Schizosaccharomyces pombe: one gene and its partners. The gene in region 2 interacts genetically with the main gene of each other region. Each region holds a gene or a part of one and is shown on either strand. Other genes may lie near its edges. The genes, in order: spd1, rad3, suc22 and srs2.

Region 1 (3,107 bases), on a different chromosome or scaffold from region 2:
GTACCAAAAAATTTACAACAAACTTTATCAAAATAACATCCTAGTTGTAAATTTTATGTGTAGATTAATTGATTTTATGGTATCTTTTGTTTTTAAATAAATTATTCCATTTTTCCCTCTCAAATTATTATTTTTTTTTTAAATATGACTGTTTTTTGCCATATTCGCTGTTTAGTTTGCACTTTTTTAGTTAGCTGAGTAACGTTATTACTGTCTCTTTGTAATCTATAAATATAAGCATTTTATTACATCTTTTCAAAAAAAAAATAATAATAATAATAATAATAAAATTTTATTACTGAAACAGCGTAGAATTCCGTGGCATGTTGGGTAATACTTTTCACATGCCGTAGAGAAAATATCAAAAATTGTTTCCTTTTACGTTACAACCCCTACCAACGCCCTAACATCATAAAAGAAAAAGATTTAAAGTAGAAATAACAAGTTACAAAAGTCGCCCGCAACAGGTTACTTTGGTCGATCTACATGTACACCAAAAAAGTGACATTTACTGAGGAAATACGAGGAATGAGTCTTTCAAAAAATTATGTACGTATTAGAAAAAAATTACTATTCAGATATTCAACGACAACAAAGTAATCCATTATAAGTTGGTCAAGCAGAAAACGATAAGCAAATAAGATAAAATAAAAAAAGATATGACTAGATCATTCATAGATGTAAAGAGTTTAATTAACAAGGAGAGACAAATGCCCAAAAGAAGAGGGGGTTTAATTAGTAGAAAATCACTTAGCCGTCACTCACAAAACCAATAATAAAATGTATTAATGGTATAGGGAATCAACAAAGTCAAAGACTAATGAACGAAGGAATAATTGGAACTATGAGGATTGGTGTCAAATTATCCTTAAAGAAGAGATATACGAGATTCACATTTAGCTTATAATCTCTCATTGGTACCCTCCATGACAACGTCAAACGGCTTCAACCATTCCGGTTCTTCAAAGTCTTGAGGAGGATTGGCCCAGTTATAATTAGGAATTGCTTGCTCGAATGGACGCTTAGTACCGTTAGGCTCATAAGAAAATGCGGTATTTTTTAAAGCAATGTTTTCAGAAACAGTGTTGTAAAGCGGTGGGTTATAGGCAGGAAACGTGGTTTGTTTCGACTTGTATCCGGTGGAAATTGATTTACGAACCCGCATTCCCACGTCCATTAAGGAGCCTTGAATGCTTTCGGGAAGCTGAGGACGCATTGAAGACTCAGGCTGCTCAACATGAGTCTTTGTGGTCATAACTCGCTTGCTGCTGTGCATTTTTTCCAAAATAAATTGTCGACGAACCTTTGTGTAGTGTTTGGTTGTGGGAGCGTTTGCTACTCGGCTTTGTGACGTTTAAAGCAGTCAAATTTGTCTGGGGAATGCCTATCGAACACGGATCTCTTTACATTTCACTAACCCACGTTATTCATAAATGGTAGAAAATCTACAAAATTTGGAATTGCAGTTTTATTGCTTTTGCGATTGAGATCTTGTTTTCTTGTGGTTCTGCCACTTTTTCCGCACTCTTTATATCTAAGAGTTAAAGTAAAACATTTAAAGCAATTAAATTCGCTTTCTCTTTTATTGCCAACTGCTTTCAAGGTAACAGCTGAAACGTTTGTTCGTTAAATTTGGTCAAACCTTTTGCAAAGCTTGAAATCGCTTCTTCCTTTGTTCTTCACATGTTGTCTCATCGTAACTTGGCCCCTGTTCGGTATGGTTTTCTTATTAACTTTACTGGCACCGTCGTGCCATGAAGGACAAGTAGCTGCATATAGATTGTAGTAAGTATAGCTTGAGTTAAAGACCTTTTAAGATAAGATACACATATATAAACATATGGAATAGGTTTATCTTTTTTTCTTAGCCTTTATTTTTGTTTAATAGCTTTTTAAAATTAACAATGACTAATGCTCTGACAAAATTTTAGCATTATTTCAATTTCGCCAATGTATATATTATGTGTTTAAACAATATTAACAAAAGTGGTTGGGTTTGAAGAAATAAAGAATCTACCTAGAATTAACAGGATGAGCATTTTCAAAATAAAATGACTTTATTACATACATTCCTAGTTTCTTTCTTTACCGATTCTCAAACTTCTGTTTAATTACTGCTTCAATAGATGCAGGTAGATGATGATTTTACATTAATAAGACCAAGGGAACAAAAAGAATACCAAATATAATTCAATACCACATGCTTGGATTTGTAAATTGAACATATTGTAAACTTACTTGTTCTGGGTCTATCCAGTATGAGCACGCTGACTGCCTCACTCAAAATATTCGTTGAAAAAGCTTTTCTTATTCATTCATTGTTGATAATTAGTGTCTATCTTTGCGTACCATATGTTTTTTGGATAAACAACCTACTACAGTTACATAGTATGATTGATATTATTAATTCAAAGATATTCGCTACATAAGGCGCCGAGTGTAAAAAACAGAGTGAATTTTATTACACTAACAGTGTTATTTCTTCAACAACTATTATGGAATTTCTGGAAAAGAATGGCATTCAAATGTTGCGCGTGATGGTGATTTTTTGTAGATGCTTGAATGAAATGAAAGTAAAGATTTTAAAGCCTTTTCTTTTAATAGGTTTCTTTAATATTTAACACTAAAGTCAAGAGTTGTCGTTTACACTCCGGTACTGTGAGCCCCTACGAGGATTCCGCGAGTAAAGAAGGAACGCCGCCAACAGCCACAACTTCTTCCTTGAGACAATTTCCTGATCTCACTGTTTCTTTGACACGAAACTTTGAAACGTTAGAAGATCTATATGTTACGCATCGAGATATTTTCGGAAATTTTCTAAAAAGAAGATTTTCGGTGAAATTTCAGCTGGTCTTCTTTCTATTGTTTTGGCTTCCTTCGGCAATTACTTTTTGTTCAATAAAACTGTAGATTTTTTAACTTTCTCTTTCTTTTTGTCCATTATCATACAATGCAGACGGCATCATCTCTTTCTGTTTTAACTCCTTTGAATGAGGAAAACGTTGATAGGAAGTCTTCTTGGTCAAAAGACACAATCGCTGTCCAGGCAGTCGGTTCATCACCATCTTCTTCGTCATCTCATGATTTCGAAAGTAAAGAGGATGCCG
Region 2 (4,775 bases):
ACAAGACTTAAACCAGCAATTGAACTATACTCGGGCTCCTTGGTTGCTAATATCAAACTGAACCAAGCTTTGATTGCATAAAACCTTAAGTGCTCATTTTGAAAAGCACTTTGTAAATTAGAAAGTATCTGTGGTAATCCAAGTTTGACTGCACCTCCACATAAAGATAACATTTTTTCAATGCCGACAATTGTCTTAATCTTTTCATTAATTGAAGTCTTTCCTTTCAGGTCGTTAAGGATATTAGAAAATTCTGCTAAGATACCCAAAATGTGATTATTAAAAAAATCATAAAGTAATTCCTTATTGCTCAAGTCTTCGTCATTAACCACTTGAGAGACAATCATTGCTACCTTTCTTAAAGCATTTTCAATTTTTTCATGAGGAACATCATTCTGATAAAGCTGTAACAACTCCACAGTAATAGAAATAGGATCAGAGCGTAACAAAGACGTTAAATCAACTTTTTCAAAATCAGAAGTGGCCAGTGAAAGAAGAAGCATCACACTCTCTTCCAAATTAGGATGATCCGTAGTAAGTAGCGAAGCAAGGATTTTATGCATATTGGTAAGGCACAAAGTAGCAACATCACTTTGTGAAAGTTCAGCTATACGTACTATTAACGCTTTGTTTTTAGTAAGTACAAGGAATGGTAAAGTGTACGCCTGTGTTCGAATAAGAAAATCGCCCTCGGAAATATTCATAAGCTGAGCAAATAAACTGGCTATGTTCGGTTTTTTACCCATACCTTGGACAATCGCAACGGACACTGTTGGCCAATATGGAGAAAGTAATTGCCAAACGGATATATGACGCGTCGAGGCAATTTGTTGCAGAGCGCTGAGACCAATGCCTTGATAAAATATTCCGCTGTTTATCACAGAAGATATAACTTCCAATAGTACAAAATGTAATTCTTCTTCTTCTACCACTCTAGATAAGGAGATCCAGGAAAGAATGACCGTTTCTAAAATAGCTGTATTTTCCACCGCCAATATTTTCAACGTATTAAAAATCAAGGCTTTACTTTCCTTGTGAAATTCAACTATATCAAGATTATTAGGTCCCTTAATGAAAATGGGCAAAACTTTTGCAGCAACAACACGTAAACATCTTGAAGTACTGGCTAATGCTTTCATAATAAATTCTCTTAAACTTAACATTGATTCTTTATTAAAGTTTGAGCAATGCTGGCTCCACCGAAAAAAGCCATCAAGCAACAATGATTGTTTAACAGAAGAGGAAATTATGTCGGGATTTTTTAGCAATGCACAAAACAATTCGTGATAAGGAATTTTAAAGAGCGACCGCTCATCAAATAGTAAACAAAATGAGTTACAAACTTCACAACCATGTACTTCATATGTGCGGAAAATACTATTTGTTTTCTCATTCACCTTTGCAACATGAGTACACAAAACTAAAGAGAAGTTCTTCAGGTCGTCCTCACTTATTGTAACATTATGAGAGCTATAATAATCTAACATTTCACGAAAGTGCTTTAAATTAGACGGTTCATCTAAGTTGTTGTTTATACACCATTTTGCAAATGTACATATGTTATGACCATTCTGGAAATCCACTTTAAGAATATTTGACAAGTCATTGTCCAAGGAAAGATAATGTAAAAGAAAAAGGTTTAATTCAGAGTTAGAAAACAACGTGTTTTCAAGTTTACCAGTACAAATTTCGCCAAAAGCACGGAGAGTTGTTTGATCTATTTCTGAACTTTGGTATCTGCACTTAAATAATATTATTGCCTTTTTGAGATCAGAATCTGGTTCAAGTTGCTCTAATACCTTGAAGTCAGAAAGTAAGGAAACCCCAAAAGGATAGAATAGACCAGCTACAGTTTTGGGTAAAACAAATAAAGAGAGAAAAAAAAGAGATATAGCAGTATTAGCAACTGTATAAGTTTTCTTCAATGATCCCAATGTTAAGTTGATGGAGGACATTAAAATATGTTTAGATTTTTCACAAATGGGAAGGCCATGATATATAAAATTCAAGGAAAAACAGCATAAAGTTTGGACTATACGTGAATGCAAATGTAGAAAGAGCTGTGAGTCTCCGATGCTGATTCGTTTTAATAAAATAACAAAATTAAAAAAACATGGCTTGATCCAAGTCCACGCTGTAAAGAGAGGTGGACTAGGAAAATTGGATTTCTTTAAATATGAGCATTGTGCAAAAAAATGGGCACTTTCAAAGAAAAATGTACAAGCCTCCTCTATATTAATGATAAGTAAATCAAATTTGTCCTCTCGATGGGTTGGATAATTTGGGGTGATACTCTGCAATGGTTGAGAATTGGGTGAGGGCATCTTGTAAGGGAATGTAGCATTAGTGATTTGGAGAACTATAGAAGAAACGTTTGTAATATAATATTTCCAATAACGCATAAACGAAGCATATAAGTCCCATAGGAATGACTTTTCACTGATTAGCTGATAAATTAGCTTATGAAACTCTTTTAATGAGTCAAATAACTTAATAAAACGAATATCAGCAAACAATGATATAGTCCTGGGTAAAATCCAATCCAAAAGAGTAACAGATGATTTAATCTCCCGCAAAACTGTCGGAGACCTTTTTAAGATTAGCATTAACGCTTGTAGAGAGAGATGGGCTTCTTTTAGCATCTTAGGAGAGATAAATTCAGATTTTGAATCATCATGTTTAAAAGCTAGAAGACCAACTTCAATTAAAACTTCAACAAGCTCGGAGGTCATAGATGGTAAAGAATTACTTCTACCTAACTCATGTTCTTTGTCTAATGCTAATACTTCTTTCAAAAGCTGTCCGAAAGCCTGTCTGTCATCTAAGCCTCTGGGTGAAAGATCGAGTGACCCAGCTTTCCTTTTTGCGTGTTGGCTCATACTATATCAAACCATTGATTCAATTCAAAAAAAGGCCTTTTTAAAACGCAACACGCGCGTTCAAAGTCTTGAGCATTTATAAAAGACGATTGTAAGTAATAAAATATCTCAATAGAATTATGCGAAAAGTGGCAATCGATTATCAAATCGATTTCCACTCACGAGGTAAAGGAAGATGCATGGTGCACTAAGTATCGAGCGATGCTAATTAACGAGCTTTTGTGATACTGAATTTTCAGAGGAAACTAACTTTTAAGTAATATTAGGCTGGATGTTTCTGATAATGATTGAATTTTTTGACTTTTGATGTGATTATAATGGTCAATAAACAAAAAAAAAAGTTATTGTTGAAAGGTAGTAGGAGAGAAAATAAGCTATTTTACGGCTAATAAAAGAAGAAATGAGTTTTAATTCAATTATTTCTTAAATAAATAATAAGAAAATATTGAAAAGATAAGTTATAATCGCACATCCTAGTTCTCATTGACTATAGCGTCAGTGGAGCGTCATACGCAGGGCATTGGTTCACTAGATCGCGGATTCTTCTGTGTTTTATACTTACTAAGCAGTTTTTACTTGGTACCTACCTATTCACATAAATAGTGGTCAAAAAGTCGTTTACTTACTTGAAAATTTTTGTAGTGCCAGTTGTGGTACATATCGTCTTGTGTTTTCATGAAAAAAGTGATTACTACACACTTTTCAATCTGTGGAAATACGAAGTTTACGAATCTTTTGAAACGTGCATATAACGTCTCCTACCCTGTCCAAAACGTCAAAAATAATACAAAGATGGGATTTCCATTGGAAAAAAGCGAAGATGAATGGAAAAAGGAGCTAGGTCCTGAGAAGTATCGAATTATGAGACAAAAGGGTACTGAGCACCCAGGTGCAGGACGATTCACTCATCAGTTCCCTAAACAGGGCGTTTTTGTTTGCGCTGCATGTAAAGAGCTTCTTTATAAAGCTAGCACAAAGTTTGAAAGCCATTGTGGATGGCCTGCGTTTTTCGATAATTTACCTGGAAAGGTGAAACGCATTGAAGACAACTCTTATGGAATGCATCGTGTAGAAGCAGTTTGTGCCAACTGTGGTGGTCATTTAGGCCATATTTTTAAAGGAGAAGGTTATTCTAATCCTACTGACGAACGCCATTGTATAAATTCGGCGAGTTTGGAATTCCATAATGAGGCAACAAATGACAATTGAACTAGATTATGCTTAATATTTCTGTATTTTCTTTATTAGATGTTAGCACCAGTTCGAATTGTTTGTGCTTGATGTACGGCTATTATTTTATTTAAAGTTGCTTGTTCACGTTTTGGTTAACTTCAATAAAATGCATTTACTTTTAACATTTTAAACTAATATATTTTGTTTTCAAAGAGTGTAGTAATCTCTAGGTCAGAAATTAGATTTACTAGCCGTATGTTATAACTAAGCTGCTTATGCCAAAGTTAATAAACGATAACACAATGTTTACACTACCTGATATGATCTTCCATTTATTTCAACTATAAAGGGTATAACTAAAGTATCCCTCACTTAAATATTTATTAATTTGCGTACGCTTCATAGGTCATTGAAAAATTTTCGTTCTTTTTTCAGAAGATTTTAAGAAAGGAGTAAAAGATGCGTGGACTACAATAATACGCGAAGGATCCGAAAATGTCATTACATTATACTGAATAAGTATAGGATGATTCTCCTTTTACGACGAATCCAGCAATGGCTTTATATATTGGCACATTTCCATCCGTCATGTCAACCACCAAATGGATGGACTGATTATCAAGAGCGAACAGTAGTACAGTACGCGCGACGTTTTCACGAGACATCATACAATTTATGGATATCTTACCCAATGCAACTTTTCCAGAACCCTTCTCGTCTGTC
Region 3 (3,789 bases), 2.8 Mb from region 2:
TCTTGAACCTGTTCCTGCTTGAAGTGGGATAGAAAATCCGTAATTTTATGTTGACATTCTTCATACTCTGGGATTTTTAAATCTATGGTGGGAAGTGCCATGCTTTTCAAACCAAAAAAGTATCCCAAAACTTTTCTGCTGAATTAGCAAAAAATATAAAGGTTCAAAAAGAAAGCAAGGGTATTAAGTAAGGGTAAGATACCAAGAAAGGTTCTTCTTTAGGTTGTTTTAGTTAGTTGGTAGTATGAATCAACGCGAACTCGTAAGGTAACAAAAATGTAAATATTGTAACTTAGGGCATATACAAATTGTCATTGACTCTAAAGAAATTGCAGTGTATAATTTTTTTGATTCTCTACATATTTCCTTTTTAATTTATTACTCTCGCAGCAAAAGTAAACATTCAGTTTGATTTTAAAAGCCACTATGTAGTACTGTTAGAAATTTTTTTTGGAGAGTATTCACTATGTATAAATAAACAGTTTATTTGTTTTAAATTAATAATAATCATTTTGCCAGACAATAAATTGGTCATTTTATTTTCATAAATGTATGTCTAATTGTTTTCATTGCTTCAATCGATTGTTATTTTAGCTATCCATAATTTTTCCTATTTTTCTTCTACACGTTTTGTATTTCTAAACATGAGAGTTATTTAGACTACTGCCTAAAATTTATTTCACTTTTATTTTTAAAAATTTTTTTGAAAACTTATGAAGTAAGTTAGCAGGGAAATTCTCAAAAGAAATGCGATATCAACAATATAAAAACTTCGAGTAGGGAACTTTTTATTTTTTGTTCGGTTATTTCAAACATCAGTGAAGAATGAATATAGAAAATTCTTTATTGTTTTATACCACATTGTAAACTGTACCTAAAAGCACAACACGCAATAGAAACGTGCTATTGGAATGCTTATTTATTTTCTGTTTACAATAGACGAATATAAGTATTTCTTTTTTTTTTTACGAAAGGATCAAGGTATTAAAATTATTCACAGTATGTGGCTAGGTCTCTGTCGCGCTTATCTTTTTTTAATTAAGCAATGTCTTTATGTACGGTCGCGTCGCATTAGAAGTTTCGTGATTTGTAATATTTGAGCAGTTATAAAGCGCTCTACATCTCGGATGAAAAGGAGATTGTGAAGAGATATTTATTTCTAACATCATATCGTACTACTAGGCTGATATCATTGCGTTTCATCTACAACATAAATTGAGGTACCCTGACGCGTCTTAAGTATTACACTGAAAACTACTTTATTAAATTATAACAAAAAGTGAGAAATTTAATAATTTATTTATTACATAAAGTAATAAATTCATTTCTATTTTTTCAATTATTTGAGCCTAAATAATTGAATTTATTCGACTCCACGCTTAGCATCGAATTCTTCGATTTAAGCTATCACATTTTTCTATTAACTAGCTACAATTTCCTGCTTTAAGAAACCGTTATTATAACACACCAGAAGGGAAAGGAAGTAAGCCCTTGCTTTTCCCATTTAATTTGAGATTGTCTTCGAATTTATTTCATTTTTTTTACTCGTTGCGTTTGTCTCCAAATATTAATTAGTACATTGTTTTTTTTCAACGTTATTCATCTCCATCAGCCTTTGACTTAGTTTAACTGCAATTTTCCACTCTGTAAAATAAGGCAGCATTTTGTCTATTTTGCCTTCACTCTTATTCATTGTGTTATCATACCCAAAGTGCGACAAATTAACATCCACAAAAAAAACGGTGGTGTTGAATATACTACAATACTGTGCACTACATTGGATAACCTACCTTTGAAAGTTTTGCCATTAACCACAACACATCTTGGGAAGCCACATCGCAAGAGATAATCGCGGTGGAAGAAAACTTTTGTACTTATTCTATATACAGATAAATCCGGTCAGTTTGGACGAAATCTCATTATTAATCTTACAAAATGGGCCTTGAGCATCTCGAAGAATTCAGTTATCCTAAGGAACATGGTGAAGAAGTCGAGTATGATAGCGAACAAGGTGTTCGTAAAATTTATGTTAAATCTATTAAAGAAACCTTTAACTTTGATAATGTAAGTGAAGAAGAGAAACAGGAAGGAGGCGACTACTACTTGGGCAAAAAGGAAGATGAGCTTGATGAAGTTGTGCTTCGCCCTAATCCTCACCGCTTTGTTTTGTTTCCAATTAAGTATCACGAAATTTGGCAATTCTACAAGAAGGCTGAAGCATCTTTTTGGACTGCTGAGGAAATTGATCTTTCGAAAGACTTGGTTGATTGGGATAACAAGTTAAATGCTGATGAACGTTACTTTATTTCCACTGTACTCGCCTATTTCGCTGCGTCAGATGGTATTGTTAATGAGAATCTTCTCGAGCGTTTCAGCTCTGAAGTTCAGATCCCTGAAGCTCGTTGTGTTTATGGTTTCCAAATTATGATTGAAAATATTCACTCTGAGACCTACTCACTTTTGCTTGATACATACATTCGTGAACCTAAGGAAAAACAGCGTCATTTCGATGCTATTTTAACAATGGGTTCTATTAAGGCCAAAGCCAAGTGGGCTCTTCGTTGGATTAATGATGAAGATTCCACCTATGCAATTCGTTTGGTTGCCTTTGCTGCTGTAGAAGGTATCTTCTTTTCTGGATCGTTTGCCTCTATTTTTTGGCTTAAGAAACGTGGACTTATGCCTGGTCTTACTTTTTCCAATGAATTGATTTGTCGTGATGAGGGTCTTCACACCGACTTTGCCTGTTTGATGTTTAGTCATTTGAAGCACAGACCAGGCCGCAAGGTTGTTGAAGCCATTATTGTTGAAGCTGTTGATATTGAGAAAGAATACTTCACGGACGCTCTTCCCGTTAGTCTGCTTGGTATGAATAAGGATTTGATGTGTCAGTATATTGAATTTGTTGCTGATCGTTTGTTGGTTGCTTTGGGCAATGACAAGTACTATAACGTAACCAATCCTTTCGATTTCATGGAGAATATCTCTTTAGCAGGAAAAACAAATTTCTTTGAAAAGAAAGTTTCTGACTACCAAATTGCTGGCGTTATGTCGGGTACCAAGCGCGCTGAGAAGGATGATCATACATTTACAATCGATGAGGACTTTTAGATGACTAGTTATTTTTGGTTTTTAGATAAGTTAAAGCAAAAAAAAAATATTATTGATTACTGATAACCTATTTAGCAATAATAAATTAATATGTTTAATTAGATTTTCGTTACTCTATACTTTACAAATCTAAATGGCTACTTCAGTGAATGTAATGACGAAGTTCTAATTTCTGAAGTATTTCTATTCAAGTTCTTTTCTCTTTTTCATTAATTTACTACGTCTAAGAAAAGTTATTTTCCAGTCATAGACTAAAAGACCATTTACTTATTATCCTTATTGTCAATTACCTAAACCTACAAGATTACATGTATTATACAATACTTTGTAATTCGATTTATGGTTGACTTATCACATCTCGTATTTTTTTAATGAATTACTGCAAATTTACTCTCAAAAATAATCAATACTTTCTTTTTTTTTAACGATTATTTTTCTTTAATTCGTATTAAATGTATGAAGCCAATATGCTAAGATTAAGTCAAAGGATCTCAAATGCTGTGAATCACTTCTCAACCGCCATGATGTCGGGGGCTTCTGCAAGTTTGACCGAGGGTAGTGCAATTATACCATTTTCAAATCCGAATGAAGTCTTTTATAACCCCGTACAACAATTTAATAGAGATTTAAGCGTTACAGCTATTCGTGCTTGGTCGGAAACTAGATCCAAAAAAATTG
Region 4 (5,985 bases), on a different chromosome or scaffold from region 2:
ATTTTTTTCGAATATATACAGGGTTCAAAAATGCATTTAGTGCTATATTTTGACAAGAAGTATCGCCTATTTGACCATTCCTGTACAGTCCATTAGACCATGCACTAGCCATCTAGTCCGCGTTCCACAAAAACAAAACAACACCTCGATAAGGCTTTAAGAGGGTAGAACAACGTGTCACATTTTTTTGAAACTCGAAGTATCCGAGATTTAGCTATGAAAAGATGTCGTTCTGAACATGTTCCTAGTAGGTTACCAAGAAAGAAGTGTAAAAATCATTTGGATAGTAAGTGAAGAATTTAGCGATTTTTTACTAAGCTTCTAAGTGAGATCTTTTCTTAGTTTGTTTGCAAGCAAAAAAAGTAATGCCCATGATGCCTCTTCTATCGTTTTAAATGAAAAGGTTAATTTTGTTACTGACAATGACCATCTGCCTTCATCTACCGGTGTTTGCGAATTTTGTGATAACGTATTATATCTTTCTACATGTGATCGCTGCCAACGAAATATTTGTCGAAACTGTAGTACTCTAATGTAAGTTTATTATCTGTATCTATTTTCAAGCTGACATTATATGTAGGTATTTTAAAGAAAACACCGTAGCAAGGTGTTTAGATTGTCTATAAATATAATACGTGATTTTGTACAACATGATATGACTATAACATTCGTGAAACTCGTAGCCTTACACCCAATCGTTTTCTCGAACCAGCAGGACGGGCACTCGCGACCTTAGTATTTGATTGATTAAGGTCAGTATGTTGCACAACATCTTGGTGACCTTCCCTCAACGTTCTATTTATTACCTGATCTTTCGTAGAAGGACCTCTACCAAGATTTTGTCTGACGCTGCTCATGAAAGAAGCGTTTGTCGTTGAGGCTCTTGTCGATACAATACGATTGACAGTTTCAAAACTTCGATCATTTAAATCTTTATTTGCAACCATTATGCTTGCGGACCTTGACGGCTCAGAAATCTCTACATCTGAATCGATTGGTTGTTTTTTCTCAAACCAACTTCGTATATCGGTTTTCGATCTCTTGGCATTATGTTTTCTAAAATTTGTTTCATCTTTATTATAGTCATTGACACTTTTGACTCGTTCTCTCTTTTTCAATTCTGCCTCAGCTAGAACACGACAGCATTGGAAGCCCAAGTTTTCGAATTTAGTTCCGTTATGATTTGCATTTGAACCAATACCGCTTAAATTAGTTATTTTCCCATAAGATTTCCGACCCAATATGGTTCCAATTTCAGAAGCAATCTTTTCATTAAAAACTATTTCACTTTCCATCACCCATCTTTTCATTTCTTCTCCTTTTAAAAATGGACTGACGTCCTGTACATTGTCTGAGTTCTGCATATCTGCAAACATTCCAGTGACGCTTTTAAAGGAAGATAGATACAGTAGCGCCTGTGCACGTGTGGCACCGACATATAGCAGCCTTCTTTCCTCGTCGAGGTCGTCTGAACGAGAATGAGGGATAATATTTTCACAAAGACAAGGTAAAAATACAACAGGCCACTCTAAACCCTTAGCTGCGTGAAGGGTTGAAATGGTAACCTTCTGAGATTCGCCCTCTTTCTGTTCTTCATTCACAAGAGCGATTTGAGTCAAAAAATTCTGCAATAGAACAATTGTTGATATTTTGTAATCTAATTCATAGAATATACAAGATATGTTATCGCTTTGTTGTACAAGCTCCATTACATTTTCCCATTTTTCTTCGACAGTTTCTTTATTTTTCCGAACCAGGTATTCGTAATATTTAATCTCAGAAAGTATTCCCAAAAGTAAATCACTAAGAGTTGCTGAGTGCCCATTAGACAAGTAACGATTTTCAAGTTTGGAGATTGAACAAAGAAAAGACTTTAAAGACTTTAGAAAACTCTTGTCATTTCTTTGAGAAAGTAAAATATTTTCATTCTTTACTTCATTTAAAGTTTGCCAAAAGGTCAATCCTCTTCTTTCACTTTCGAAAATAATACGGTCGATTTTTGTTTTGCCAATATTTCTAGGAGGGACATTGATGACACGAATTAAAGAAGTCGAATCTTTGTTAGCTAGGACTCTCAAGTAAGCTATTAAGTCTCGAATCTCTTCTCTATCAAAAAACTTGTTAACTCCAACCATGCGGTAGGGCACACCAAGTTCGGAAAGTGCATGTTCTAAACTTCTTGTAAGGCTGGAGGACCTTACAAGGATTGCGATATCGTTATAAAATATAAGCTCTGGACAAGAACCTACTATACGTTTAATTTCTCTAAAGAATCGTTAGTAAACTTTCATGCAATGAAGCCATACGAACCTTGCGATCCAGTAAGATTCTTTATTGTTAGTTTCAAACAATCGGTAATGAGGCTTTAAGGAAGAGATGTGATTACTTTTGAGCCCCTTCTTAGGCCTGCTTTTGTCCTGTGAAATGATAGACAGTGCTAATTCAAGTATAGGTTTAGCTGAACGGTAATTTCTTTCCAAATGAAGCACTTGGGTACCTTCAAAGTCTTCAGACATTTGGTTTAAGTTCCTAATTTCAGCACTTCGAAATCCATAGATTGATTGATCGGGATCGCCAACAATCGTGATATCTGAATTTTGCAATGCCAAAAGCTTAACAAGAAAATATTGGATTTTGCTAGTATCTTGAAATTCATCGATTAAAATATGTTTTATATTCCTCACACAATCTGGTTGCTTTTGAAGTAATAAAATAAAGTTTAAAAGCAAATCATCAAAATCCTAAATAGTTAGATATATACATACAACTTTATGCTTGTTACGTACCGCTAAATTGTTCTTCCATAAGGAAGTTTGATAAAGTCTATACAATTCAACAGATTGATGGCTTTGAAGCTCTTTAGGTGGTTCTTCCAGACCATTAATCAAACTCAACTGATCCATTCCAGGTTTAACAAGAAGACCGTTGGACTTTAATTTAGTTATGCGATTTAGAGCATTCTGAGGAGTCAATTCTTGTCCTCTAATACCAGAAGCAATCGGATTTTTAGCTTTCTTGAGAGAGTCTAAAAGTCGCTTCATAATAGCTTGACTAAATAGATCAGCAATGGTTGAAAGTGGAGAAGTAAAAGTTAGAAAAGTGTAAACAAGACATACGTATCATTTCTGTCAGCAATCAACCAATTTGAGGATAGCCCTATATGCTTGCCATATTTAACCAAATACTTGTACGCTATAGAATGAAACGTCCCAGAAATAAGCTTAGAGGCTTCACTATTCCCCAAAATAGCTTCAATTCTGAGCTTTATTTCATTTGCGGCTTTGTTCGTAAAGGTGGCTATAATTAAATCTTCGGCTGCAATATGGTTCTTTTGAAGTAAATAGGCTACTCGAGCGGTAAGAACACGGGTTTTTCCAGACCCAGGACCGGCTAAAATTTGAGTATACTTATGAGGACTCTGAACACTAATCCTTTGTTCTTCATTCAGAAACTTCAAGTATGATGATTTCGTTTCCATAATTGAGAAGAACAAAACACTCAACCGACAGCTTCAAATGTATATTTTAAAAAAGTGAGAAATAGGAAAACAATGCAAAGATTTTTGGCCAAACACGGTCTTTTCCGATGAGTTGTCGGGTAATAAATATTAAATTGTGAAACGATGACACGTCAAACTAAGAAAATTAACAAATACTTATTATTTTAACGAAAGCATAGCATAGGTGAAATAATTTAGAAGATCAACCCTTATTTAGTTGAAAACAACACTTGCAATTTCTTAGTATTCTCGATTGACCTACCAGCGCGAAAGGGCTGATACACGGATACGAAAAAGATTTTAATCCACCTGTTTTTACTACAAGAAATTTGAGTAAATCGTGAACGTATAACAAATGAAAGCCTTTCAATTCAGTATTCTTAAGTAATGATTTTATTGTGTGAAAACCTGATTTTGCGATTGTCTTAGTCTTGTGTTTCGACCTCCCAAAAGTGGTGTTAGTGCAGCAAAACGCAAATGATGAAGGCAAGAAAGCAAGATATATGTAACAGTGTGTTGTTCAGAAAATAATACCCATTGTCAAACGAACATCACAAACCGAATTACAATTTGAACGTATCAATATTATTCTTCAATTTATCTCATGTCACAAGCCATTCGTGAAGCAACTCATGCAGGATCTTGGTATTTGGATGATACAGAATTACTAACTAAGCAATTAAAATCATTTATCAAAAACCCAACGCCCGAGACTGGGAAACGGTTTGTCATTTCACCGTACGTATAGACAACTTATAATTTATGTGATATTCAGTATATAGCTAAATATTGAGCAGACATGCTGGTTACATGTATAGTGGGAAAGTCGCATCCCAAGGATTTCAGCAATTGGACTTTTCGAAAATTCAGAGAGTTTTTGTTTTTGGGCCTTCTCATCACATCTTTACTAGAAAATGCCTAGTCAGTCGAGCTAGCATCTGCTCAACACCTTTAGGTGATTTGAAAGTGGATGAAGACTGTATGTGAAAACAGTTTTGCTTAGTAGTTTTACTAAATTGCTACTGTCTATTTCTCAGCACAGATTATTTGCTAACTGGAAATTTATATAGTATGTCAGAAACTCGTCGCTAGCGATAACAGCTTCGACTCAATGACCTTGGATGTGGATGAAAGTGAACATAGCCTCGAAATGCAATTCCCTCTTTTAGCTTTTCATTTGCTGAAACAAGGATGCTTGGGAAAAGTCAAAATTGTTCCTATCATGATAGGTGCCTTAACTTCAACCACAATGATGGCAGCAGCGAAATTTCTGAGTCAGTATATTAAAGATGAATCAAATTCATTTGTTATATCTTCCGATTTTTGTCATTGGGGAAGAAGATTTGGATATACCCTTTATTTGAACGATACGAATCAATTAGAGGATGCAGTCTTAAAATACAAAAGACGAGGTGGCCCCACTAGTCCCAAAATTTATGAGTCTATATCTAATTTGGATCATATTGGTATGAAAATTATTGAAACGAAAAGTAGTGATGACTTTTCAGAGTATTTGAAAACCACTCAAAACACCATATGCGGCCGTTACCCTATAGAACTCATTATGAAATCTATGGAATGCGCCAATTTCTCTGAAAGATTCAAGTTTATTTCGTACGCTCAAAGTAGCCATGTTGAATTGGTCACCGATAGCAGCGTTAGCTATGCAACCGCAACCGCATAGTATTGTTGATATTTTATTATTATTTTTTTCATGACTTGAAACGGCTGATGCGAAACGATCATATATTTAAGTATTTGAGAGCCGAAAATTATCGGAACATGTATTATGCAACCTGTGTTTGTTAGTTATTATCATCAGATTCATACTCAGGAGGCTAATTTTGCAATGCTTTTTCTGATCTAGGCAAATTACGATAAATGAAATGCGCTTTATTTCTCAATTGCAACATTTACGAAACATACCCTTTTCCATTTATATAATTTTTTTGTTTTCTGTATGTATCAATTGGTCTCTCTTGAGAATTAATCAATTTTTAAATCTTTCTACTATGTATAAAACTACTGTTTTTGATATTCTGAACAAATTTCTTTTACACGATTAGTAACGAAAACATTATTATATTATCAAAGTCAATTCATGCATGTGCATAACCTTCTAAACTAGTATGCTTTCCAGCTTTGCTTGAAAATTATACAGCCTCAACGAGTTCAAGACAAAATTTCAATACAAAAATTTCATGTTTAACAATAAATTAACACAAAAACAAACAAAAAAAAAATGAATAAAAGGAAGCCTACAGCACCCCGGATTCCCATGTTGTCTCCAACCATAGTACTAACGAGGCCCTCAGACGCTTAACTGCAGTGATCGGACGGGAACTGGTGTTTTCGCCTAGGTATGGCCGTAGACATTTGTTGTATAAATTACTTTTATTTAAACGTTTAAGAAGTACCGTATAGTGTCTACCGGCAGAGTATTTTCTCAGCCCTGAGATTACTGATTCTCAAGATAGTATACAAAG

What was found.
Region 1: of rad3 (region 2) and spd1, a mutation in one rescues a mutant of the other (synthetic rescue), as found in Schizosaccharomyces pombe (4 studies listed by BioGRID).
Region 3: of rad3 (region 2) and suc22, extra expression of one rescues a mutant of the other (dosage rescue), as found in Schizosaccharomyces pombe (3 studies listed by BioGRID, with this or other methods).
Region 4: mutations in rad3 (region 2) and srs2 impair growth when combined (synthetic growth defect), as found in Schizosaccharomyces pombe (3 studies listed by BioGRID, with this or other methods).

The regions. Positions count from the first base shown.
Region 1 is NC_003424.3:5,410,658-5,413,764, reverse strand, and holds spd1 (ribonucleotide reductase (RNR) inhibitor), read right to left. Parts: upstream 1,323-3,107; 5' UTR 1,277-1,322; coding exon 902-1,276; 3' UTR 546-901; downstream 1-545. Other genes in the region: histone lysine H3-K36 methyltransferase Set2, read left to right, coding at 2,951-3,107. UniProt on the Schizosaccharomyces pombe protein: Regulates the ribonucleotide reductase activity through its mediation of the nuclear localization of suc22, the small subunit of the ribonucleotide reductase. Delays the progression of the G1-S phase transition, thereby ensuring the G1 phase is complete.
Region 2 is NC_003423.3:902,469-907,243, reverse strand, and holds the start of rad3 (ATR checkpoint kinase Rad3), read right to left. Parts: upstream 3,061-4,775; 5' UTR 2,880-3,060; coding exon 1-2,879. Other genes in the region: peptide-methionine (R)-S-oxide reductase Mxr2, read left to right, coding at 3,672-4,088; SPOM_SPBC216.03 (uncharacterized protein), read right to left, coding at 4,559-4,775. UniProt on the Schizosaccharomyces pombe protein: Serine/threonine kinase which activates checkpoint signaling upon genotoxic stresses. Involved in G2 arrest following DNA damage where it phosphorylates chk1.
Region 3 is NC_003423.3:3,719,820-3,723,608, forward strand, and holds suc22 (ribonucleotide reductase small subunit Suc22), read left to right. Parts: upstream 1-1,803; 5' UTR 1,804-1,935; coding exon 1,936-3,111; 3' UTR 3,112-3,253; downstream 3,254-3,789. Other genes in the region: MCM complex subunit Mcm7, read right to left, coding at 1-101; trm1 (mitochondrial tRNA (guanine-N2-)-methyltransferase Trm1.1), read left to right, coding at 3,564-3,789. UniProt on the Schizosaccharomyces pombe protein: Provides the precursors necessary for DNA synthesis. Catalyzes the biosynthesis of deoxyribonucleotides from the corresponding ribonucleotides.
Region 4 is NC_003424.3:3,830,268-3,836,252, reverse strand, and holds srs2 (UvrD subfamily ATP-dependent DNA helicase), read right to left. Parts: upstream 3,975-5,985; 5' UTR 3,479-3,974; coding exon 3,117-3,478; intron 3,052-3,116; coding exon 2,787-3,051; intron 2,767-2,786; exon of another isoform or gene 2,742-2,766; coding exon 2,311-2,741; exon of another isoform or gene 2,266-2,310; coding exon 660-2,265; 3' UTR 627-659; coding exon of another isoform or gene 581-626; 3' UTR 535-580; downstream 1-534. Other genes in the region: SPOM_SPAC4H3.16 (uncharacterized protein), read left to right, coding at 217-286, 327-534, 581-626; SPOM_SPAC4H3.04C (uncharacterized protein), read left to right, coding at 4,104-4,237, 4,297-4,478, 4,570-5,183. UniProt on the Schizosaccharomyces pombe protein: ATP-dependent DNA helicase involved in DNA repair at least for UV-induced lesions. Also aids the recombinational repair of camptothecin-induced collapsed replication forks.